Linked DNA regions of Canis lupus familiaris. The protein of the gene in region 5 purifies or fractionates together with the protein of the main gene of each other region. This does not show direct contact. Links are inferred from orthologs where the notes say so. Each region holds a gene or a part of one and is shown on either strand. Other genes may lie near its edges.

The links.
Region 1: the proteins of TULP3 (region 5) and IFT140 purify together in Homo sapiens (affinity purification with mass spectrometry; 5 studies listed by BioGRID and IntAct, counting the BioPlex papers as one, with this or other methods). This does not show direct contact. The link is inferred for Canis lupus familiaris from reciprocal best matches to the Homo sapiens genes TULP3 and IFT140.
Region 2: the proteins of TULP3 (region 5) and SIRT1 purify together in Homo sapiens (affinity purification with mass spectrometry; 5 studies listed by BioGRID and IntAct, counting the BioPlex papers as one, with this or other methods). This does not show direct contact. The link is inferred for Canis lupus familiaris from reciprocal best matches to the Homo sapiens genes TULP3 and SIRT1.
Region 3: the proteins of TULP3 (region 5) and KBTBD7 purify together in Homo sapiens (affinity purification with mass spectrometry; 3 studies listed by BioGRID and IntAct, counting the BioPlex papers as one, with this or other methods). This does not show direct contact. The link is inferred for Canis lupus familiaris from reciprocal best matches to the Homo sapiens genes TULP3 and KBTBD7.
Region 4: the proteins of TULP3 (region 5) and WDR19 purify together in Homo sapiens (affinity purification with mass spectrometry; 5 studies listed by BioGRID and IntAct, counting the BioPlex papers as one, with this or other methods). This does not show direct contact. The link is inferred for Canis lupus familiaris from reciprocal best matches to the Homo sapiens genes TULP3 and WDR19.
Region 6: the proteins of TULP3 (region 5) and WDR35 purify together in Homo sapiens (affinity purification with mass spectrometry; 5 studies listed by BioGRID and IntAct, counting the BioPlex papers as one, with this or other methods). This does not show direct contact. The link is inferred for Canis lupus familiaris from reciprocal best matches to the Homo sapiens genes TULP3 and WDR35.

The regions. Positions count from the first base shown.
Region 1 is NC_049227.1:39,705,970-39,709,469, reverse strand, and holds part of IFT140 (intraflagellar transport protein 140 homolog), read right to left. Parts: intron 2,959-3,500; 5' UTR 2,928-2,958; coding exon 2,781-2,927; intron 1-2,780. UniProt on the Homo sapiens protein: Component of the IFT complex A (IFT-A), a complex required for retrograde ciliary transport and entry into cilia of G protein-coupled receptors (GPCRs).
Region 2 is NC_049225.1:19,904,939-19,908,438, reverse strand, and holds part of SIRT1 (NAD-dependent protein deacetylase sirtuin-1), read right to left. Parts: intron 2,294-3,500; coding exon 2,052-2,293; intron 1-2,051. UniProt on the Homo sapiens protein: NAD-dependent protein deacetylase that links transcriptional regulation directly to intracellular energetics and participates in the coordination of several separated cellular functions such as cell cycle, response to DNA damage, metabolism, apoptosis and autophagy.
Region 3 is NC_049243.1:9,372,580-9,376,797, reverse strand, and holds the start of KBTBD7 (kelch repeat and BTB domain-containing protein 7), read right to left. Parts: upstream 2,801-4,218; 5' UTR 2,518-2,800; coding exon 478-2,517; 3' UTR 1-477. UniProt on the Homo sapiens protein: As part of the CUL3(KBTBD6/7) E3 ubiquitin ligase complex functions as a substrate adapter for the RAC1 guanine exchange factor (GEF) TIAM1, mediating its 'Lys-48' ubiquitination and proteasomal degradation.
Region 4 is NC_049224.1:73,797,448-73,801,606, forward strand, and holds the start of WDR19 (WD repeat-containing protein 19), read right to left. Parts: upstream 2,801-4,159; 5' UTR 2,784-2,800; coding exon 2,664-2,783; intron 4-2,663; coding exon 1-3. UniProt on the Homo sapiens protein: As component of the IFT complex A (IFT-A), a complex required for retrograde ciliary transport and entry into cilia of G protein-coupled receptors (GPCRs), it is involved in cilia function and/or assembly.
Region 5 is NC_049248.1:4,204,786-4,208,285, reverse strand, and holds part of TULP3 (tubby-related protein 3), read right to left. Parts: intron 2,921-3,500; coding exon 2,744-2,920; intron 1-2,743. UniProt on the Homo sapiens protein: Negative regulator of the Shh signaling transduction pathway: recruited to primary cilia via association with the IFT complex A (IFT-A) and is required for recruitment of G protein-coupled receptor GPR161 to cilia, a promoter of PKA-dependent basal repression machinery in Shh signaling.
Region 6 is NC_049238.1:15,071,694-15,075,872, forward strand, and holds the start of WDR35 (WD repeat-containing protein 35), read right to left. Parts: upstream 2,801-4,179; 5' UTR 2,636-2,800; coding exon 2,612-2,635; intron 1,927-2,611; coding exon 1,809-1,926; intron 20-1,808; coding exon 1-19. UniProt on the Homo sapiens protein: As a component of the IFT complex A (IFT-A), a complex required for retrograde ciliary transport and entry into cilia of G protein-coupled receptors (GPCRs), it is involved in ciliogenesis and ciliary protein trafficking.

The DNA.
Region 1 (3,500 bases), on a different chromosome or scaffold from region 5:
ACAGGGAGCCTACTTCTCCCTCTGCCTGTGTCCCTGCATCTCTGTGTCTCTCATGAATAAATAAATAAAATCTTTTTTTTTTTAAAAAGGGGTCCAATTCTTGGTTTTGGCTCAGGTCAGGATCTCAGGGTAGTGAGATCAAGCCTTGCATTGGGCTCCACGCTCAGTGGAGAGGCTGGTGGGGATTCCCTCTCCCTCTCCCTCATCCCCTCCTGCTCATTCTCCCCTCCCCAGTACATAAATAAATCTTAAAGAAAAAAAAAAAAAGAAAAAAGGAAAAAGATGTGTTGAAGTCCTAACCTGGTGCCAGTGACCTGACCCTACTCGGAAAGAGTCTCTGTAGGGGATCAGGTTAAGAAGAGATCATTAGGATGGGCCCAAACCCGATGGCTCGCGTCCTTATCAGGAGAGGAAAGGGAGAGGGACACACAGGGGAGACACATGGGACCACAGAGGCCATGGGGTGATGCAGGTACCAGCTGAGGACTTCTGAGGAGAGCCGGCTGCCACAAGAATCCAGGACAAGGCCTGGCACCCGTCCTCCCCAAGGGCCTTCAGAGACCGCGTGGCCCTGACTTACTTCAGACTTCTGGCTTCCAGAATGGCAAGGCCATACTTGTGTCTTAAGCTACCCGCCTTGTGGTAATTTGTTACGGCAGCCACAGGATGCCAGGAGTTTCCAATGGCCAGTGTGGCCAACAGGACTGGACCAGGGTGCACAGACAGCACAGAGGGGCTGTTTCTGGTTAGGGGCGGGGACTGATCGTGGAATCTATTTTACGTCCCTAAATATGGCCCCAAGGCTAAGGAGCAGGGCTGAAACAATTATCTACATCACAGCACTCTTTTTTTTTTTTTTTTTTATAGGACTCATAATACTGAGACTCTACCTCAGGAAGCAGTGATACACATAACACACACATGCACCAAGTACCACACATGCACCACACGTACCACATTCACACCACACGTATACACGTATACCACGTATTACATACCATACACACCACATATATATATACCACATACCACACATGCAGACACACCACACTCAGTCCACATATATACACACCACACGCCACATATGCAACACACACTATATACCACACATGCACCACACACACCACATACCTACACATGTACCACATAACATACACACCTCATACCACACATGCACCACATACCACGTACTACATACACCATACATACAGACCACACACACGTATGCAATATACACATACACCACATGCGGACACACATGATATATACCACACACATCACATACCCCTTAGTGTACACACATATAACACACAGCACATACACCACATACCATACATATGACATGTCACACACATCACAGCCCCCGCATAGACACCATATACAACAGGATGCACCCATCACATACTACAAATTGTAGCATACATAAACACCACACACATCACATACCCATCACACGACACACATACCACATGCATACACACTACATACCACACACATACCACACATTTCCCTCACATGACATACAGAACATATACCACTCACACCACACATACATCAAGTACCATAGACACCACACAACATGCACATACCACATTACACCACATACCACACATGAAACACACACCCCATCTACTCACACATACAAGCACCACATACCACATACTATACACACTACACCTATCATATACCACACACAACACATGTATGTCATACACCAGATGCCACACATGGCACACACACACAACAAATACACATGAAAGACATACCATATGCCACACAACCACATACCACATGTATACCACACAGTCACATACCAGACACATGACACAACATATACACACCAAAATCATGTGACAGACACATCACATACAAACAAACCACATGTACCACATGCTACATACACACCACACACATATACATCACACAACACACGAACACCACATACGTACATACTATACCACATGTGACACATACCACTGTCCACACCACACATGTACATACCACATACCCACCACATACGTACTCACCACATACCCATTATATACATACTTACCATATGACACACATACCACGCACACCACATACCCCCACATATGCATACTACATACCACACACATCACATATCACACACGTCCCCCACACCACACATATACACACCACACATATACACACCACCACACCATATACCACACACATACCACATATCATACCTGACACACACATCATATTACCACATATACTACCCGACACATACCACATCCCACATACATGGCACATACTACCTACCACAGACACCACATAACACAGACCATATGCACATATATCACACACATACACACCACATAACACACGTATGATACATAACACATACACCACAAATACCACATACAACACACAGGACACATACACAGCACTACATACATCACATACCCCTCACTCTATACACATTACATACCACAAGCTCCACATACCACACACGTACCCTACCACACATGACACACACCACACATATACCACATACTACACACCACACACAGGCACACACATACAATATATCCTCTCCATGGCACACATGACATATACATCACACACATGCATGGATGTACCCCACACACAAGGCACACACAACACGCACACAACCCATACTGCAATACTCTATACTCATGTACATACTCCCCACATGACACACACCACACAATGCACATGCACACACGGGAGAACAAAATGAACATAAGAGCCAGAAGCCCCAGAAGTCAGAAACATGGCTTCCTAGGACTCACTTGTTCCAGATATATATCCACGCTGCCTCCTGCAATCCTGCTGACGGAGGCAACCGCCAGGAATGGATGAACAGGGTGCCAATGGATGTGGGAAGGAGACTCGACAGAGTCTGGGGCTTCTATTGGGTGGTCAAAGTAGAGGGCCATGATGAAACTCGGATCTAGTCAGGGCTGAAACCTGCAGGGAAGAAAACAGCTAAGTCCTGTTGCTTTTGAACAATAAGAAATGACTGTACATAGAATTAGGAAAGAGAAGCATCACAAACCTACCATCATAACACACTGCAACTTACAAATGCCCCTTAAGACCATGTGGAAGAGATCTCTAACAGGGTTAAAAATGTATAATTAGAATCAAGAAATTTGACCTGAATGATGCAGGGTGTGATGGAAAAGAATAAAACACTGCCATCAAAATAGTAAGAAAAAGTCTAGTCACCTAGTCCACTAGGTTTACCTAGTGCATAAACCTTGATTATTCATTCCAGTCATAATAAAGACAATTTGCATTTCTATAGCTGACCTTCAAGCAAAAATTTCACACCAAGCAGAAGCAAAACTGATTCACAGAAATACATAGGAAAAGCTAGGATTCAATTCGTGAAAACCAAAGCCTATCTACTACCTCTGGCTCTCAGATGGTAGAAGGCAACAGGGTTCCTTTGTTAGAAAATCAAGAAAACAAAGCCGTGGCACTTGTAGGAAAGCTGAACTTGATTA
Region 2 (3,500 bases), on a different chromosome or scaffold from region 5:
AAAAATATTTTGCTTTAAAACTTGAGGGAACAAAAATACTGCCCTACTCCAATTTATTTTTTTTTTCCCTACTTTAATTTCAAATTCAAATATAACAAACACCAAAAAGCAGTATAATGAAATCCACCATATTTTCCAATCATAATGGGGTAAGGAATTTTAAGTCAGGCTAATTTTTTTTCTGGCTAATTTTAAACCTTTAAGCATTTAATCAATGAATGAAAGCAACTGCAATTTGAGGGATCCCTGGGTGGCGCAGCGGTTTGGCGCCTGCCTTTGGCCCAGGGCGCGATCCTGGAATCCCACATCGGGCTCCCGGTGCATGGAGCCTGCTTCTCCCTCTGCCTGTGTCTCTGCCTCTCTCTCTCTGTGACTATCATAAATAAAAAAAATTAAAAAAAAAAGCAACAGCAATTTGAGAACAGAGTAAATAAATCATTTCAAATTATTTTAACTACAAAGCAGGCAAGATTCTCTATCAGTCACATATTTGCAAAAACAAAAATGTCATCTGGTCAGGGTTCTACTACTTCAAGAATATTAAATTCCTGTATTTTCTTTAAAAACTCTATTGTACAATAATTTTTTTAATATTCTATTTATTTATTCATGAGAGACACAGAGAGGCAGAGACTCAGGCAGAGGGAGAAGCAGGAGGCTCCATGCAGGGAGCCCAATGTGGGACCCGATCCCCAAACTCCAGGAGCCGTGAGCCAAAGGTAGATGCTGGAACGCTGAGCCACCCAGACGTCCCCAGTATTTTAATTTTCTTTTTTTTTAGTATTTTAATTCTTAACTGACATTTCAAATAGGAATTTCAGAAGTCAACTAACTTATTGTTTCACAATTTTATCAGTTGACTCCACTCTGACCTCAGATAAAACTAATTTGACTAAATCACATCTGTGAACAAGGCAGAACTATTCTTGACAATCATTTATGATTAAATAGCACTCTGCCTTAACTCAAAATGGCAAAATGCAGGACTGAATTTTACTCCAACAATCACCCTAGGTCACTAACACGTAACATATTCTGTATTCAACACACAATGGCCCTAGGTAGCTAAGTACAAACCCAAAGTGAGGCCAATGCCCACACATCAAGCCACCATATTCACATCACCTTAAATTAAAATGGGGGGGGGGGGGGGTGAGCAGCCCTGGCAGCTCAGAGGTTTAGCGCTACCTTCAGCCCAGGGCCTGATCCTGGAGAGACCCAGGATCGAGTCCCACATCAGGCTCCCTGCATGGAGCCTGCTTCTCCCTCTGCCTGTGTCTCTGCCTCTCTCTCTCTCTCTTCTCTGGGTCTCTCATGAATAAATAAATAAAACCTTTAAAAAATAAACAATAAAATAAAATATAAAATATAAAATATAATAAAAAATAAAATAAAATAAAATAAAATAAAATAAAATAAAATAAAATAAAATAAAATAAAATAAGGGGGGGGGGCAGCCCGGGTGGCTCAGCGATTTAGCGCCTGCCTTCAGCCCAGGGTGGGATGCTGGAGACCTGGGATCGAGTCCCACGTCGGGCTCCCTGCATGGAGCCTGCTTCTCCCTCTGCCTGTGTCTCTCATGAGTAAATAAATAAAATTTAAAAAAAAAAAAAAAATGGAGAGGAGGCAGGAACCTGTTGCCTTCCCAACTTAAGTTATTTACTTGTGAACACTAATTAGGTTCCTGGTTTCCCCCAGAAAGATGGAACAAAGACCCAATTTTTCCAGCAGACCCTGATCCAGTTTATGCAAACCGAATTACCTGCATCTCCTTTAGGAGCTGTAGCAGAATACTATAAGTAAAAAACCCTTTCCTAACTCCATGTACTGTTAACAAACAAATACTTCCTAAGTTTATTGGAGAAGTTTTTAAAGAAATGAACCAATTTAACAACTGCTGCAGCACTTTTCATGGTTTCCAAATGCAAATTCCCATTATCATGTTAGGATAAATTCTTCTAACCAAAAAATGTTTCTGACTTGGAAAAGGCTAAGAAAAAAATCACACACCACCTCACCCTTTTACTAGTGTTTTATTACATCTTACATACCCCAGCTCCAGTTAGAACTATTATTTTTTTGCACTCTTGCAGTAATTTCACAGCATCTTCAATTGTATTAATATCTTTTCTTTTCTTCCTTTTTGGTGGTTCTGAAAGGATATTAATAACAATCTGCCACAGTGTCATATCATCCAATTCAGGTGGAGGAATTGTTTCTGGTAGTAAATCTTTAAGAATTGTTCGTGGATCTGTGCCAATCATGAGATGTTGCTGAACAAAAGTATATGGACCTACATAAGAGAGAAAAGAATTAGATCTAATCCACCTTTAAGTCATTCAAAAATCTCATTTTCTAAAGTAATGAATTAGCAATCTTTAAAGTTTTTTTGCAAGGAAAATGAAATATATAGGTATTTAGTTTTTTTAGAGCTAGTGACTACTCTCTCCCAAGGAAATTAAGGAGATCAAGAGTTGTACCTGCTCTTAGAGCTCTTAAATCCAGCCTCTTTTCTCCTGTTTCTAAAAATAAAACTATAATTTACTCTTCAGATCATTTAATATTTTCTTTCAAAAAAATATTTGTCATGTGATACTTAAAAACTTAGTATGTTAAGTTGATTTGGGTCAAAAGACTACAACACCAATTATTCAAATACTGGTAATAATCATCTTCATTTACTAAGTACTTAATTAATGTCTGGAAGTGTCAGTTATTAATTCACATAAGTCTTCCCTGAAATATGAAAAAACGATCACGTACCCTATACCTTTGCTCTAATCACTTAATTTTGGTAGGCTTTTTTTAACATTCCATCAAAATTTCTACTTAATCTGGTCTATTGCAAATAACAGCTTTATAGCTGCCTTTCTAATAGATTCCTTTTGTTTTTGTCTATTGTAATATTTAGAACCTCTAGTACAATATTGAATAAAATAAGAGAAAAAAACCTACCAGAATTAAATTTCTATGGCTAAGATCTAGAATACACACTAATAACAGTGTGTACAAAATAGTTCTACAAATCAGTTTTACCAATCAATAAAGGAAAAGGTACCAGTCCCAAAAAGCCCACAGGAAATCTATACATAATCACTTTTTAAATTTTTCCAGTAACAATCTTTTTTTTTTAATCTTTTTTTTTCCAGTAACAATCTTTAATTTGATCTTAACCAATCTCCCAAAATGGCATACCGATGTTTTGAATATTAATAATTTTTACCCTGAAATTTCTTAGTTTCCTAGTTTCAGAAAACCAAAAATAGAGTGAACATTACAGACACTAAGGAGGAACTAATCACCACTGTTTAAAGAGTCAAGGTACTTTTAAAAGAAGAAGAGCACATTAAGAAAAAGACCATTCTCAAAAAAAAAAAAAGAAAAAGAAAGAGACCATTTTCAATATGATCATGTTATAACTTTGGTATAAAAATCTCATGGTGTTCTCTACTTCAAAACACTTTCCCATTTCAACAACATACTTAATATTGAGCACAAAC
Region 3 (4,218 bases), on a different chromosome or scaffold from region 5:
GGAAATCTACTACTTTCATTATTCTAAAAGAAAATACAACCTTCAAAACCCTACCAACAATTTCTAGTTCAATTTTCTACTATAAAAATTAAAAAGTTAAATTCCTTGTGGCACTAAGTTGAATTAAAACGTTAACAGAAGACAAACGTAGATAATCAAAATATAAACAGTGTAAACTAACCAAAACAATCCACTGGTGCAACAAATACTCGAACAACCAAGAAACCACCAAGCATTCTAATCAGTTACATAGTTTGTTTTTGCATATTTTAATCTTGACTTTTAGCATAATAAATTATCATATAGGTTGATTTCATGGACTGTTTAACTTTGTAACATTACATTAGTAATTCAAATGTTACCCTTTCTAAACCAAATCTGCAGTCCTAATCAACATTTTTTTTTTCATGAAAAGGAAGGGATATCTTTTAAAGATACATTCCATAGAAGTAGAAACATCTTAGTGCTTCAAAATATTTACAAAGAACCCTGATGATCCTGTGCATTTCCCTGAGGTGCCACCTGCACCCAGACTTCATCATCGGAAAAAGAACTTGAACTTCCTGACTCCGAGTCCAGCTCACTGAATCCATCTAAGTCCCATTCAGTACTAGACTCACTCCGTGCATCATCTTCCTCAGTGATAAAACTCTGTCCAGGTTCAAGGCAGGAAGGATAAACACGAGCACAGAGGCAAATAAAGCCAGAGTCAAACTGCAAAAGACCTAACATGGTACCTATATTAATCCACTGGTCTTCCCTAGTATCGTATTCATAAACAGTCACCCGGTTTTTTTTCCACTGAGGGGTGGTAGAAGTAATGAGGAGCAACTTTTGGCCATGATTGACAATCTGGTAGTTGTGGGTCTCTGAGTCCAAGGGGATATTACTAATCCGCCTCCATTCTCCCCTGGCTGGGTTGTAGACCTTCATGACCGGGATGTCGCAGATACAGTAGATCTCATCATTGAAGACACAGGCTTCCTGAAAGTCACTACGTTTAAGAGAAGCACAGTTCAGCCATGTATTGTGGCCCGGGTCATAGTAGAGCATGCGCTTACTGTTCACAGCATAAAGATAGTTCTGAACCACTATTAGTTCAAACGAATAGAAGGAATGGGGTACAGGAGCCACCAGTGCCCACTGGTTTCTCTGGACACTGTAGCACTCCACTTCCTTCAGTTTAACACCGGTAATGGGGTCTCGCCCACCCAAAATGTAGATGTAGCCATTGAGGTAGGCCACATCCATGCCCTCCCGGCACAGCAGGCGGTCGGCCAGCTGCTGCCAACTATTCTGGGCTGGCTTGTACACCCAGAGGTCCTTCCTGGGCTGCGCGGCCAGGTAGATGTCATGGTCTGGAGAGACGCAGACAGCTGAGGAAGTGACAGTCTTGGTGTGAGCCAAGCTGGTTAAAGGGGATGGCATGGTGTAAATGTCCCCTGAGTATGGGTCGTAGCACAGAAAGGGATCTCGGGGATGTCCAAAGAAGATCACCATCTCCTTGGCACACATACCCAGCCTCTGGGGTGGGTTTTCTGCTGTGGGCACAACACAGCTGCTGCTGCTATCTGGTTTGGGCACCAGAGCCTTGCACAGCTTGTCACCATAGCGCATCTGCAGGGCCCCCTCGATAAGGTCCAGACAGTACTTTTTCACAATGGGCTTGGTCAGCAGCCCCTCCAGGTAATCCTGATCCTCTTCTCTGAAGTGTGTCCAGCGGACACACTTGAAGACTTCCGCAGCGCTGGGTCCGCGCTCCTTGGGAGCCGCCTCCAGCCACTGCACGGCCACGTGACACACGGTCCGCTCGCTCTCGATGTCTAGACTATCCAGGCGCAGGATGGACAGCAGCTGGGCCAAGCTCAGATCCGCCAGGCTCTCCTCCCTTACTGAGCCCATCCGGCTGAGCTGCCTGAAATTGTGGGCTATGAAGGACTGGGCCTGGGATCGCAGCTTATGATGGTCGAAGGCGTCGGCGAACTTGAGGATGGCGGTGCAGTTGGCCAGGTCGAGGCGGCGGGCCAGGAAGGAGGCGCAGGCCTCCCGCACGTACTCGAGCTGCAGCATGTCGGAGGCCGCGTACAGGCGCTGCACGTTGGCCTCGCTCAGCGACACGCGGCCCGTGTAGCAGTAGTCGACCAGCACCTCGAAGGACTCGGCGTCCACGTCGTGCATGGTCACGTTCGCCTGGTGGCTCTCGTACATGCCGCCCGTGAACATGCTCTTGAAGTAGGGACACGCGGCCGCCAGCACGTTCCGGTTGCAGGGGAAGAGGCGGCCGGTGCCGGGCCCGCTGCCGGGCGTCACCACCTCGATGGTCACGTCGCACAGCAGCCGCGCGTCGTAGAAGGACTTGAGCTGCGCCAGGAGGGCTGCGGAGTGAGCCGCGTCCTTCAGCTCCTCCGGGCCCGTGAAGAAAGCCGAGACCGAGGGCTTGGAGATCCTCTTGGGCCGCCTGCCGCCGCGGGGACTGGCCAGGCGGCGGGGGCGCGGAGCCTCTTCCCGGGACTGCATGGTGGAGATGGCGGCGGGGTACGAGGGCGAGAACGGGTGCACGGACCGGGCGCGGGCTCCTCCTCGCCCTCTCCTCGCCTTCTCCCTGAAGAGACTGCAGGGGCCGCACTTACCCAACTCAGCCCCGCGCCGCGGTGCCGCCTCCCTTTATCGCGTAGCCAGCGCCTGACTCACCCGCTTCCAGTTCCGCGCCCTTTTCTCCGCCTCAGCTCGCCTTACAGAACCCGGCTGGACGGAACCGAGAGAGCCGCCACTGCCGCGCTGGCAATACCGGTAGGCGTCCAGCGGAACTACGGCTCCCAGGCTGCCTTTCGCGCCCCGAGGCATGCCGGGGCCCCTCCAGACTCCAGGGGATCGGCGGGCGGGCCGGAGCCGCTGTGCACGCTGGGAGTGGTAGTTCGAGGAATATCGCGAGGTTTCTCCGGGCGGGCGGACTTTTAGCTGACAGAATTCGAAAAAGCGTTAATCTGGGTTTGTTGGTTTTAGAGCTTTGGCTTTGATGTTCTTTTTTATTTAAAAAAAAAAAAAATCTCCGTTTTGGTATTGGTCTTCTCTCTGAGAACTTTCCCCTCTTTGTAAAGCGGGGGATACGAGTTTTCATAGGATTATGTGAGAGTGGGAGCGAGGTGGATTTGCGCAGGTCCCAGGATGCTTCAGCGAATACCTGCTGATTAATCACATGCTTGCAAGTGCCTGGAATATACAGATTCAGCCACTGGTGGCGTCTCCCAATGCGTTTTTAAAAATGTGCCCGCGTGCGAAGCCGTGAGCGATTTGTGTGAGGAATCTTAATTTTACTGTTGCTTCTTTTGAAGGGTTCTTCTGAAGGCTACCACCATCTTTTCAGAACTAAATGAGATCCACAGGTTCGTTAGGGTGTCGTGGACAAGGATGAGGTCCTGGCGAACAGCGTTGAGAGGTGGCCTCCGACGTGCGGCTCAGGCCTCCGACGTGCGGCTCAGGCCTCTGACATACAGCTCAGGCCTCTAACAGGCAGCTCAGGCACATGCATAGCTGGGCTGACCTCTCACCAAATCAATATTTACGCAGGGGGAGCAGGATTACTTTCATAAGCTTTTTTTTCTTTTTTTTTAAATTAAGATTTTTATTTACTTATTAGAGAGAGAATGCACAAGCAGGGGAGTGACAGGCAGAGGGGGAGGGAGATTACAGGCTCCCTGCTGATAGGGCCGGATCCCAGGACCCCGGGCAGGCGCCTAACCGGCTGAGCCACCCAGAAGCCCTTTCGTAACCTTTTAGCAGGAATGTTTTGGTCTAATACTGCTCGTTTCCCTTCCTCTCCACAAATCAGCCTAAGATTATGTAGTTATCTTTATCAAGGAGATAAAAACGGGAGTTGTAGATTAAAAGATTTAAACAAACAGACCTCAGAGCTCTGTATTCATGCATGCCCCAGTTTTTTTTTTTTTGTTTTTGTTTTTTTTTTTAAGATTTTATTTATTCATGAGACACACACACACAGAGAGAAGCAGGCTCCATGCAGGAAGCCCAATGTAGGACTCAATCCTGGGTCTCCAGGATCAGGCCCTGGGCCAAAGGCAGCGCTAAACTGCTGAGCCCCCTGGGTTATCCAGTATTTTTTTTTTAAGATTTTATTTATTTATTCATGATAGACATAGAGACACAGGCAGAGGGAGAAGCAGGCTCCATGCAGGGAGCCCGACGCGGGACTCGATCCTG
Region 4 (4,159 bases), on a different chromosome or scaffold from region 5:
ACGCTAAAAAGATAAATATTTTTATATTTTCAAAACATACAATTAAGGGTTGGTCAAAGATATCAAACATGATCATGAAAACAGTAAGATTCAGATGTTAAAGGCTTACTGTTAGAGCTTATCCAGAAAAAGTCAACAATGTAACAGACAAAATAATCAGATCAACCAACCAACCAACGAACTTCTACAATCTGGTTGTTAAAGTATGGACCTCAACACATAGGCAAGCATTTATTATAAAGTTTTGGTTTAAAATGTTTTTGAGGGACACCTGGGTGGCTCAGCGGTTGAGCATCTGCCTTTGGTTCAGGGCATGATCCTGGGGTCCTGGGATGAAGTCCCACATCGGGCTTCCTGTGTGGAGCCTACTTCTCCCTTTCCATCTACCTGTGTCTCTGCCTCTCTGTGTGTGTCTCTCATGAATAAACAAATAAAATCTCAAAAAAAAAAAAAAAAAACTTAACCATGATAAAAATACAAACTGTCCTTCATTCAAAATTATTTTCTACCTTTACCCACTAGTTATATTTACTTAATCATTAAGTGCTCACTTTGACTACTGGGTGGTGGTTGACTGATGGTCAACTCAAAAGCCTTTCTTTTCACTCATACAGTCAAGAACTGGGGTACCCAATATAAAAGCCACAAAACACAGGTGGACTTGATTTTATTGAGGGCTTGAAATGTAGGTAGTCCAAATTAGAAGTGTTGTAAATATAGAATAGATACCCATTTCAAGGACTATGAAAAATGTAAACTATCTCATTGATAATTTTTTGTTGATTACATATTGAGATAATATTTTTAATATACTGGATAAAATAAAATATATTATTTAAATTAATCTTACCTGTTTATTTTATTTATTTATTTTTAAAGATTTTATGTATTTATTCATGAGAGACAGGCAAGAAATAGGCAGGAGAAGCAGGCTCCCTGCCAGGAGGAGCCTGATGGGGGACTCAAGCCCAAGATCCTGGGATCTGCCCTGAGCCACCTATGCATCCCTGTTGGTTTTAAAACATTTTAAGATGGCCACTAAAAATTTTAAATTACATTCGCTCACAGTACATTTATATCAAACAATACTGATCCAAAACAATTACGAATACAGAGCTTGAATAAGAGAATTTAATTTTAATATTAGGTTAAATTATAAACAATTAGGTTAAATCATAGACCACAGCTAGGCATATGAAGTTCACATACTACTACAGGTGGCTTGACAATCAGAGTGGCCATACAAAACTCATTCAATGCTTAAAATTAAATACCAAGGTGTCAGGCTCCTGATTTCTGCTCAGATCATGGTCTGAGGGTCCTGAAATTGAGCCCTGCACTCGGCTGGGAAAGTGCTTGAGATTCTTTCCTCCTCTCCCTTTGCACCCATGTTCTCACTCTCTGTCTTAAAAAATATAAATAAATGTATATATATAATTTTAAAATTAAATACCAATCATTAGTCGTTTGGTATGTTAAGGAGATGAAATCCACCTCTATTGGAAACAGAAGTGTATTATAATTACAAGTCCATCCACGTTTCGTGGAGCTTGAAAACACCTTGGGAAAAAAAGGTGTGACCTTTGTGACCAAGTGACCCTGGAACCCCTTCCTGCAAGTGAGGGATCCTTAAACTTCAATTTGACTAGCTTCCGGGTAGACCTCTTCTGGCTGTGATCGTACATCTTAGTTTTCTTCATATACAGTATAGTGCTCCATATACAGTAGACTGAAAAAGCGCTAGCTTCAACACCAGAAAACCAAGGTCTGAATTGTACTTTTTAACTTATGATCAGCTGTAGGGCTTAAAACAAGTCGCTTAAGTTGCCTCAAGCACAAAATTTTCAGTTGCGAACCAAGAGGAATGCCTCCTCCGTGCTGACAACTTCAGAAATCGTGAAAGGCTTTAGAAATGTGAAGTTATGATCGATTACCAGCCTGTCAATTCCAATTTCCACGCTAAGAGCCACAAGGAATCTTCAATTTAAAATTGAACTATCCATTTCTTTGCCAGATCGGGGCGGAGGGCTAAGGCAGTGGTAAAGCAGGGGGGCGAGGGCGCTGTAGCCCAGGGGCCGGGGATGGGGTTCGCCCGAAGCCCAAGCGCAGGAACTGTGCGTGCAGAGGATGATGCTCTCCAGCAGGACCCGCGTGTGCAGGCGCAGATTTCCCCGCGAATTACATCCACGAGCCACTGCGTGATTTGTACATTAGTCACCGGCGATACACTCTGACATTCTTCTTTCGGAAGCTCTTCACTCTTTTTAAACGCTGAGCGGTTGCGCGGCTTGCCAGGGGTTCAGCTGCTTGCGGGGGCCGAGCTTCCCAGCATACCGGTCTCCCCGCCGTGGGTAGTTCGGGGTCTTTTCCGACCCGGTCTGCTCCTTTCGGGCCGTGCCCGGGTTCCCTCCGCCCGCCCCGCTTCAACTCCGTTCGCGGTCCCAGAAATGAGGCCTCCCCTCTCCGCGTTCCCCTCCTCCTTCCTTCAACTTCGCCCCCCCCCCCCCGCCCCAGGTCACCCAGCTCTCTTCGCCATTCCTAGCCCCCCTCGGGAGGAGGGAGGGGGACACAGGCCCCCTCTCCTCAATGTGACGCTCAGCGGGCCCAGCGCCTGTGGTCGCGTTTCCCCGCCGCGCCGGCCCCGGGGTTTGTAAGTTATTTACCTTCATCTCAAGGCTAGAGCGGCCGCGCGATCCGGAAAGTGCGCAGGCGCGGAGAGTCAGCTCCAGGAGGGCTAACGCGTTCCCGTCACCCAGGAGACCGCGCGAGCAGTGACCAATCATGGAGCTCTACCCGGGGGGGCGGAGCCTCGTGGGGCCTCCGCAGGGGCGGACGGGAGGCGTGGACTGGAGTCACGTGACACGCGCGGAGGCGGGCCCCAAATGGTTGTGCGTCAGGAGCTCCGGCCCACCCTCCCTTCCTTCTTGGGCTCTGATTGGACGAGGCCGGGGACGCCCTTAGGACGTCCTGCGTCAACTTCTGCTCCCGGTGCCGAAGTTGTCGATGGCGGCGGGCGGGGGCGCCCGGATTCCAGGCAACGAAAAGGCCCTGAATGTTGCAAGAACCGAGAACGGGGATTTGCTCTTGGGCCAGATACTCGTGCAGAGTACGCGCAGGGAGGACTTGGGCGGGCCTGCGCGTCATCTCTCTCTCTCCTTTCCTTCCCAGGCTTCTGGGCTAGAAGACACAGGATGTGAGAAGTAGTCTTTTTCAAGGCGTTAATAGGCCAACTAAATTGGGCAAGAAAAATGAGCACTGATTGCTTCTCTGTTTAGACTTCGGACCTGGCAGCTTTTCCCCAAATATTATGCCCTGCCATAGATTTGTGCTTCGTTCGTTATGAAAGTACTTCTTTTGCCCAAGTGCCCACCCTTTTTTCTTATCAGCATTAGGTAGGAATCGTATTTGCTTCAAGAAAATGGTTTCAAGGAACTAATGATGGATGTTACCGTTCTTAAGGAGGATACTGTTCCCTTGGCGTCGGGTTTTGTTTAGTTAGTTTAGTTTCAGGTGCAAGACCTGCCCATTATTATTATTATTATTTTTAAGACCTGCCCATTAAAATGAAAATATCATTACTAGGGGATTGAGTGAAAGAGAAAAAGGTTAGAGAAGTAGAAATTCAGAAATTGGCCATCCACTATTTAAAGGAGTGAATGGGACTTTCTAGCTTTAGGGAATGTAAGGGAGACAAAATTTTACCCTCTTAGGGTTTTTCAGCTCGGCCTGAGAATTAGACTAACCTAAGACAGATTAAGGAAGAAAAGCCTACAAATACGTGTTCCTTTTCCTAAGGAAAAGACCCAAAGAAATGACACCTGCGTGCATGCATGCTTTTATATTTGGCTGAACAAAGAGACGCGACTGTGGGAAAGCAACTATAAACTATGGTGAGGAGAAAAAAAAATAATTATGTCAATAAGTTCCGTTTGTATAGACTCTTCAATTTCAGCGTCTCCTTGATGGTAAGAATGCCATTTCTTATGGTACAGGGAGGGTATCTTTCACATGGGAGTTTTTAATCCCCGTTTTCAGGAAGAAAAGAAGATTAGTCTTTTGCATCTGCTATTTTTTAGGTACCGTTAGCTCAAAATAATCCTTATGTCAAAGTAGCTTATTTTGGAGTGGGATATTTTGCCACTCTTCAAGGGAAGTCTAC
Region 5 (3,500 bases):
CCTGTTTCTCTGTGTTAGAAAAGTCAGCTGTGTCTTCTGTTCTTGAAGGTAATGGCTTTATCAAGAAGATATGTTACAGTGCCCTGCAGTATAGTGTCCCGTTTCTCAAGGCCTGGTGTTTCCAGGAATGTCTCCAATATGTGCTGCATGTGCTCTGCAATTGTGTCCTGTCTGCTTTATCCTTCAGGAGAGTCATCTGCAGAGGTTCTCTTTGCCTGTTATTGGCAGTGTTTAGTCCCTGGCCTGAATGTGGCATGTTTTAATTAGGTCTGCTCTGGTCTGTTTGTGAAATGAGACCTGTTACCACTGCCAATGGAACTGGGGCCTCACGCTTCCAGGTCAGGAGACAAAACATGGGCAGGGGTTTGGCCTGGGGGAGGGATTTGGAGAGGGGACTACCCACTTCAGGGACTGAGGCATGCATAACTAGGAAGGGTGAGCAGATCCAAGGGTGGAGTGGGGCTTGGTGTAAGCAAGTTAGGTAGTGAGTGTCAGTGTTGCACTGGTTCTCACAGGTGGCTATGTGCCTATGCTAAGGAGCAGGGGAGGGAAATGGCACCTGCCAGTTTCTTTGTTCCTGGAGGGGTGTCTCCATGAATGCTCTCTCTCTGGGAAATGCTCCAAGATGAGCAACTAACCTTCCCACTGTGTGCCCTGGGCACTCTTCAGATCGTTTCTACGCTGTATGTGCAAAGGTCGTTTGCCTGCCTTTTCTCTAGGAACTGCGTGGTGCCCTCCAAGCTCTCCTTGAGCAAAGCCCACTGACCTTCAGAACACCAAGCTTTAAGCCCCGATGCTCGCAAGAACTCATGAAATCCAGCCCCTCTCACTTTCCAAGCCAATTGCTATAGGGACTCTAGTACTATATGTGCACTCCCCTGCGTGAGTCTGTCTCTTGCCCTTCTCCATGACTGCACCTCCCTCCCTACCACAGCAGCCCTGATCCACTTTTCTCCCAAACCACGTCTCCATGCTTCCTGCCTTCTTCAATGCGGCCTCTTCTCTACCTTTAGTTGTGGAGTATGTTCTGCCAGTCTTCAGGTCAACAGGGTATTCAGGATGATTTGCTAGTTATGTAGTTGTACTCGTAGGGCGAGGTGAATCCAGGGTCCTCCTACTCTGTTGCCATCTTCACCTCCTACACCCACTGTCCACTTTAAACTATAATAAAGCTATTATTTAAAAAATTCTTTGTTTTTTTTTTCTTTTGCTTTCTATGTTAACAGAAAAAAATGTTAACCTTCTGTGCTTTTGTAGCAAAAAGGCATAAAACTTCACAATCATGTGGATATTTTCACTTAGTACTGTTTGCAAATGCCATTTTTATACAAAGAACTCAGCTTATGTGAATATATGTCTTAAGATGGAAATCAAAGATTTCTCCCAAACTTGTAGAAAAAACAAATCGGACCCACTTAAGGGACATAATCTACCAAACTGCTACATTGTAGATCTTAATCATAGGTTCCTGTTACTCTTCAAGTAAAGTCCAAATTTCCAGTATGGCCTATATTTGACTATATAATCAGAGCCTACTTATCCCTCCAGGCTCCCCTCTCTAATCCATCTTTTTACCTCATCCCCTCACACTGTGTGCTCCAGCCATTCTGAACTGGTGAGCTCCTCCTCCTGTATCAGGCTCTAGCTTGGATATCACTTTCTCTGGAAAGCTTTCCAAACCTTCAGCTCTAGATTAGGTACCTCTCTTGACACTCTCGTCTATTTAAGTATGTGATTCTTCCATTAGAGTAAACACTTCAGGAGGGCTGGAACCCACTGTAGCCTAAGTGCCTATAACTCCCCAATATATAGTACAGCCTCAGTACCTAGTGAATTTGTTTGAAAGTATATCTGTTCTGCATTCTGTGGTAGAATCTCCCGATTCACACATCCCAGGACCTACAATGCCAGCCTATTACAAAGTAGGCACCCAATAAATACTTATTCATGACTGGATTTCAGTCTTCTCATCTGAAAAGGGAACACTTAATTCCTTCCCACTATAAAATTATTTTTCTTTTTAAAAAATATTTTACTTATTTATTCATGAGAGACACAGAGAGAGAGGCAGAGACATAGACAGAGGGAGAAGCAGGCTCCCTGCGGGAAGCCTGATGCGAGAATTGATCCCCGCACCCAGGGATCACACCCTGAGCCAAAGGCAGACGCTCAACCACTGAGCCACTCAGGTGTCCCAAAATTATTTTTCTAAGAAGGAAAGAAAACTACAAGAGATCCCTAAAATACATAGGAATATCTGTGGAAATGATAACTCCAACTGGCAGAAAGTAAGCTCTAGTGAAAAAAGTATTAGCTTAAGTATATTTTGATATAATGTGTGTTTCTGTTCAGCCACTACTTATCTTTCCCCTTATCACTAGATCAATATAAACTGTGAAATGGAGGCCAAGTAGGGGTGTTGACTGGCAACTTTGTCAAAAGAAGGGAGTGGGAACTAAAAATGTCAAAAAGAAATAGCCACATATAGTAACTAATGTTGCTGATAATTTATATGTAATTATCTTATTTTTCTCAGGCAACAGAGTAAATACTACCATAGTTGACAATGGTCAATTCTCAGATGTCAAAGATGCCTAATCTGTCTCACCTCTGTAAAGCCATAAGCCACATTTCAAGCAATTTTGAATCATCTAGATTGTTAACTGACAATGAAAGAAAGGAAAAGAAAAGATTATACATGGCTAAGATGATTAACTGCCTTACAATCATTACCAATCCTCACCATGTTTTTGGAGAATCTCCTGGAGATCTGGCTTGGACACAGTATCCAAAGTGCCTTCTCCATCAACACTTCCTTCGGTATCCTCTTCCACAGCAGAAGAGTCTACTGAGACAACATGAAGTTTGGTTTCCAAATCTTGAGCATCTGGCTTCAAGAAGGCAGCTGGACCATCAATGCCTAGGGTCCAAAAGAAAGGAAAAAAGAGGAAAGTATTATCTGTTATTTGGCTGGGTGGTTCTGGTGTATATGATTAGAATTAAGAACCAAAAAGCATTTCACTTCTTCCTTAATATCCACATGGACATTTGTCAATAGAGGAACTCAGGACTGGTGTTCATTTTATTAACATGTTCTGACTGTTACCAAATAAAATGTACTTGATGTTATACTTTAGAAACCAAAGAATGAGATCATGAAAACAAAGTAGGCCCCTCAAAGTTCAGATCCTGTCCAAGTCCACAGCTCACCACTTCATGTGGTCCAATGAGTCCTATCTATTGGAAGAATGGGTGCTCTCTACTACTCTTGGCATCATGGCTTACTCTGTCATGATGCAACAATCAAGACTGTATGTTCCTCAAATAGGCCCTTCTGGACTAATTCATTTGGCAATGAAAACAACAGTTTTAGGATGGACACATACTGCAAGGTACCTTCCACTGATCAAACCGTTGCTTTTATTTTAACTCAAAGACCCAGAAGATTTACGAAGGTACCTAGTAATGATGCTAATATTGTCCCTCTGGTCCATCTGAGA
Region 6 (4,179 bases), on a different chromosome or scaffold from region 5:
CCCCTCAATTTTGCATCATCTAGAAAAAAAGATATAGTATGGCAAATATATTAAATAAGACTTATTAATTATAAGACTTGACATTTCTTGCTTATTTTGAAAGGAGTTTCTATTCCTGGATGATATTAGAAAGTTTTTTTTAAGTATGCCTCATTCTGATCTATATTTCTCATGGTAGAAACATGGACAATAATATGTGCCCCCTTATAAAGATATTATTCTGACAATATAAAGCAAAATATATTTTTAAAAAAGCATTGTTTACCCAGTATGTTAAATATATTAGTAATTATTATTGCTACTTATTCTTTCCTAAAAGATCACAAATAGAAATATTTATGACATATAGACTGAAAATTCTAAAGCATAAGAGGGATCAGAAAGCAAAGACTTTGGAAATTGGTTTTTACTATATTTTGCAGAATCTTTTATTCATTAGTTCATTCACTGAATGTCTACATTGTACCATGCACTGTGGAGGCTTCTGAATATAAAATGATACACAAAATATTAAGGCCTCTCCCTTCAGAGAGTTTGCAGTCTACTGAGGGAATAGATATTTAACACACATTCATCTCCTCCCATAAATATATATGCATATATATGCATATATGTAAAATTAAAAATTGAGGAAGTAAAGGCATAATAAAGAGATAGTAACAGAGGGAGATTAATTTAGATTAGAGGGAGGGAGAACTAGGGAAGACTTTCTAAAGAAATTATGTTTAAACTGAGACTGAGGGATCCCTGGGTGGCGCAGCGGTTTGGCGCCTGCCTTTGGCCCAGGGCGCGATCCTGGAGACCCGGGATCGAATCCCACATCAGGCTCCCGGTGCATGGAGCCTGCTTCTCCCTCTGCCTGTGTCTCTGCCTCTCTCTTTCTCTCTGTGACTATCATAAATAAATAAAAATTTTAAAAAAATTTAAAAATAAATAAACTGAGACTGATGAATAAATTGGAAATAGCCAAGTGAGGTGGGGAAAAGATGGGGAAAAGATGGAGAAAGGGAGGGTAGTCCAGGCTCAAAAATAGCAAGTGCAAAGGCTCTGGGGCTGCAGTGTAGAGCTTTTGAATCCAAAATGGAATTTAGTTAGGCCCTTTATCTTACAGAAGAGTGCACTTAAACCCAAAGACATTCACCAACTTTCTGAAAGTCATTCAGCATGGCAGAGCTGAGATCCCCACTCCAATCTCATCTAGATCTCCAACGTAGATGGAGGATTGTTTAGCTCTCCATTCTAGAGCAACACTACAGATGCTAAAGGAAATGTGAAACTGTTTGCTATGATTCCAAAGAACTAAAAAAAAGAGAAATCAAGCTGCAATCACAAGAAATGTATTGATAAAAAATACTTTTAGAAGTCTCGTTTTCTGTTCTTGGGAACTAGGTGAATAATTATTAACACACCTGAGAACCAGAAAGGATGATCCAGGCCTGCAAATAATCTGACAAAATGTGAGATTCTGTGACCTTACCAAAATGCGAATTCACATCATTTTTATTAAGACTCCAAATAATAGGGCACAGTAAACAGACAGAGCAAAAGGCAACATAGTGATTTAGTTCTCATTCTTCATTCTTTTCCATCAGTAACTTCAGAAAAAGCCATCTGATTTTTACATTTTACTTTCTCTGAACTAACTTACTGCCAAAACACCACTAAACGTTTGGGAGCTTTGTTTTTTTTTCTCGTTTCAAAAGAATTAAAATCGCATAGTGACAAACTCCGTGAGCAAATCTCACTGAACAAATGATAACTAGCCAATTTTCCACCAGGTTCAAACACTTGGGCTTGCATTCATTTACCTGTCTGGGTCTCTAATTTCAAAACTTTCAGTAATCCGTCTTCACCACCACATGCTATGAATCCTTGGTCCTTGTTCCAAGACACACATTTCAGCTTCACGTTATTGGGAATGGCAATCTGAAAAGCAACCACAGCCACTTGCACAGCTTTCCGCGAAGGAGCTGGTTAGCGAGTTACAGGTGAAGGCTGAAGAAAATCCACCGCCCCACCCCCACCCCACCCTCCACTGCCCCCCAGAAGAAAAAAAAGCGTAAGCTGTTCTGAAAAGGGCCATGGCACGATCCCTCGGCCCTGCCTGGCGCCCTACCATTTGGGAAAGAGAGAGGGAAGTGCACAGAGTTAGGGCATTGATTGCGGAGGAACATGGGGGGGGGGGGCACCTGATGAATTTTTTACGGGAAAGAAGGGAAGGAGGAGGTATAAACCCAGACCATCGGTCCATATTCCCTTTCCACACGCCAACACCTGGGCTACCCTCTTATAATTACTTTTCTCTCCGGATGAGACTCCGAAGACTTTACGTCACCTGGACAACACAATAGGTGGAGGAAGAGAGAGAGAGCCACGCAGCGACCTGCAGGGCTGGCGGGGGCAGGGATGGGAGAGCGGGGCCGGAGGGCTGAGGGCTCCGCCGACAACGATCCGGGGTCGGGACCGTCCGAGGCTGGACGACGCAGGAGGGTGGAAGGCGGGAAAAGGCGAAGCCGGCATCAGGACGCCAGATCCCGCCCGCAGGGTGCGGGAGTCGCCCGCGGGTCGCCAGAGCCAAGGGGAAGCGAGGGCCCCCGCGGGGAAAACTCACTTTCTTGCTCAGGTAAAAGAACATTCTGGGAACTCCGAGAGGACGAGCCCAACCGTCCGGGCCCGCCAAAGGAAACCTGGACTAATAGTTCTCCAGGCGCGAGGACCAGCCGCCCCGGGGAGCGCCCGTCGCCCTGGCAACCACAGCCGCCCGGCGCATCCGGGGCGCCGAGGGACACTTCCGGCTTCGGCCTCGCGGCGCCGGACGTGGTGCGCCTGCGCGGACGACGTGGGGCGGGGGCGGGGGGCCTGGGGGAGCTGCAGCTGCGCGCTGGTCCTGCGCGGGGCTGAGCGGCTGGGCCCGGTGGGGGAGCCTCGGCGCCGCGCCTCGTCGCCGCCGCTGTCCGCCCTGCAGGAGCTCGGAGGACGCGGCGCACCTCCGACCGCCACAGTGCAGCTCGCCTGCGGGGTCGGTATCCGCTCGGGAGCGGGCGCCCGGTGAGATGAGGTCACAAGGGTCACACGGTTGGGGGTTCTCTGGGGTGAGCCCCAGAGCCCCAGCGTGTTGCAGGGAAAGGTCATTCATGTGTTCGATGGGCTGGGGCTGGGGCTGGGGCTGGCGCCGGCTGAAGCAAAGCGCGGGCCTTCCCTCTACGCCTTTGGGGACCGGGAACCCCCTGGCATTTCGGGGGCAGGAGATGGGTGTTCATTCTGCTTGCTTTAGGACTTTTTAACAGCTTATAAGCTATGACTGCAGCCCGGTGGTTCATGTAAAAGGAATGTGTATGAGCTTTGGGCCTTTGCGGCTTGTAATTGCCACTGAAGCCCAGCCTGCCGGTTTTTGAGTCCATTAAGTGTGCTTGGTATTTTCTCGCCTGGGGCCTACTGTTCTCTGTTCTCTTCTTTTTCTACCTTAATTCTTTTCCTCGTTGTCCCTTGTCCTTTTGGAATGTTTGGAGAGTTACAAAGCCCCACAATTTGGGCACAGGGCAGAAAGGCCCATGCAATTATTTAGCCTAGCTCATCTTTTCATTTCTGTCTGATTTCTTTTTTCTTTTTTTTTCTTTTTTCTTTTTTTTACCGTATTCTGCGGCTACTGCTGTTGTATAATCTGGCTGGCACTTGATGCAGCAGCAGCGACTGCTAATTCTCCCATGTAGTCTTTCCACATTTCAGATTAAGTACTGTTCAGATCCTTTGAAGTGAGTCTGTTGACTAACCCAGCACAGTCAAGGATTGCCTAGGGTCAGGTGCCTTTCCCGTCACATCTGAACCCCCAGCTTAGGGGCCCTCAGGCGGCTCCATGGTTGAGTCTGCCTTTGGCTCAGGTCTGGTCCTGGGGTCCCTGCAGGGAGCCTGGTTCTCCCTCTGCCTATGTCTCTGTGTGTGTGTCTCTCATAAATAGATTAAAAAAAAAAAAAAAAACAGCTAAATGAGATTTTCCATCAATAGGGAAATGCCTTTACTGTGGTGCCCTCACTCTAAGCAAGCCAATATGCTTTCTGCCTCCAAGGCCATTTTATGTCCTGTGATGATCCTACCCTCTCTGCCATTTGTGCCTCGCCAAATGTACAAATCGGGTCTCCCTGAGAAATTATTTCCAAACTTAACCCCCATTCCGTTCAGATA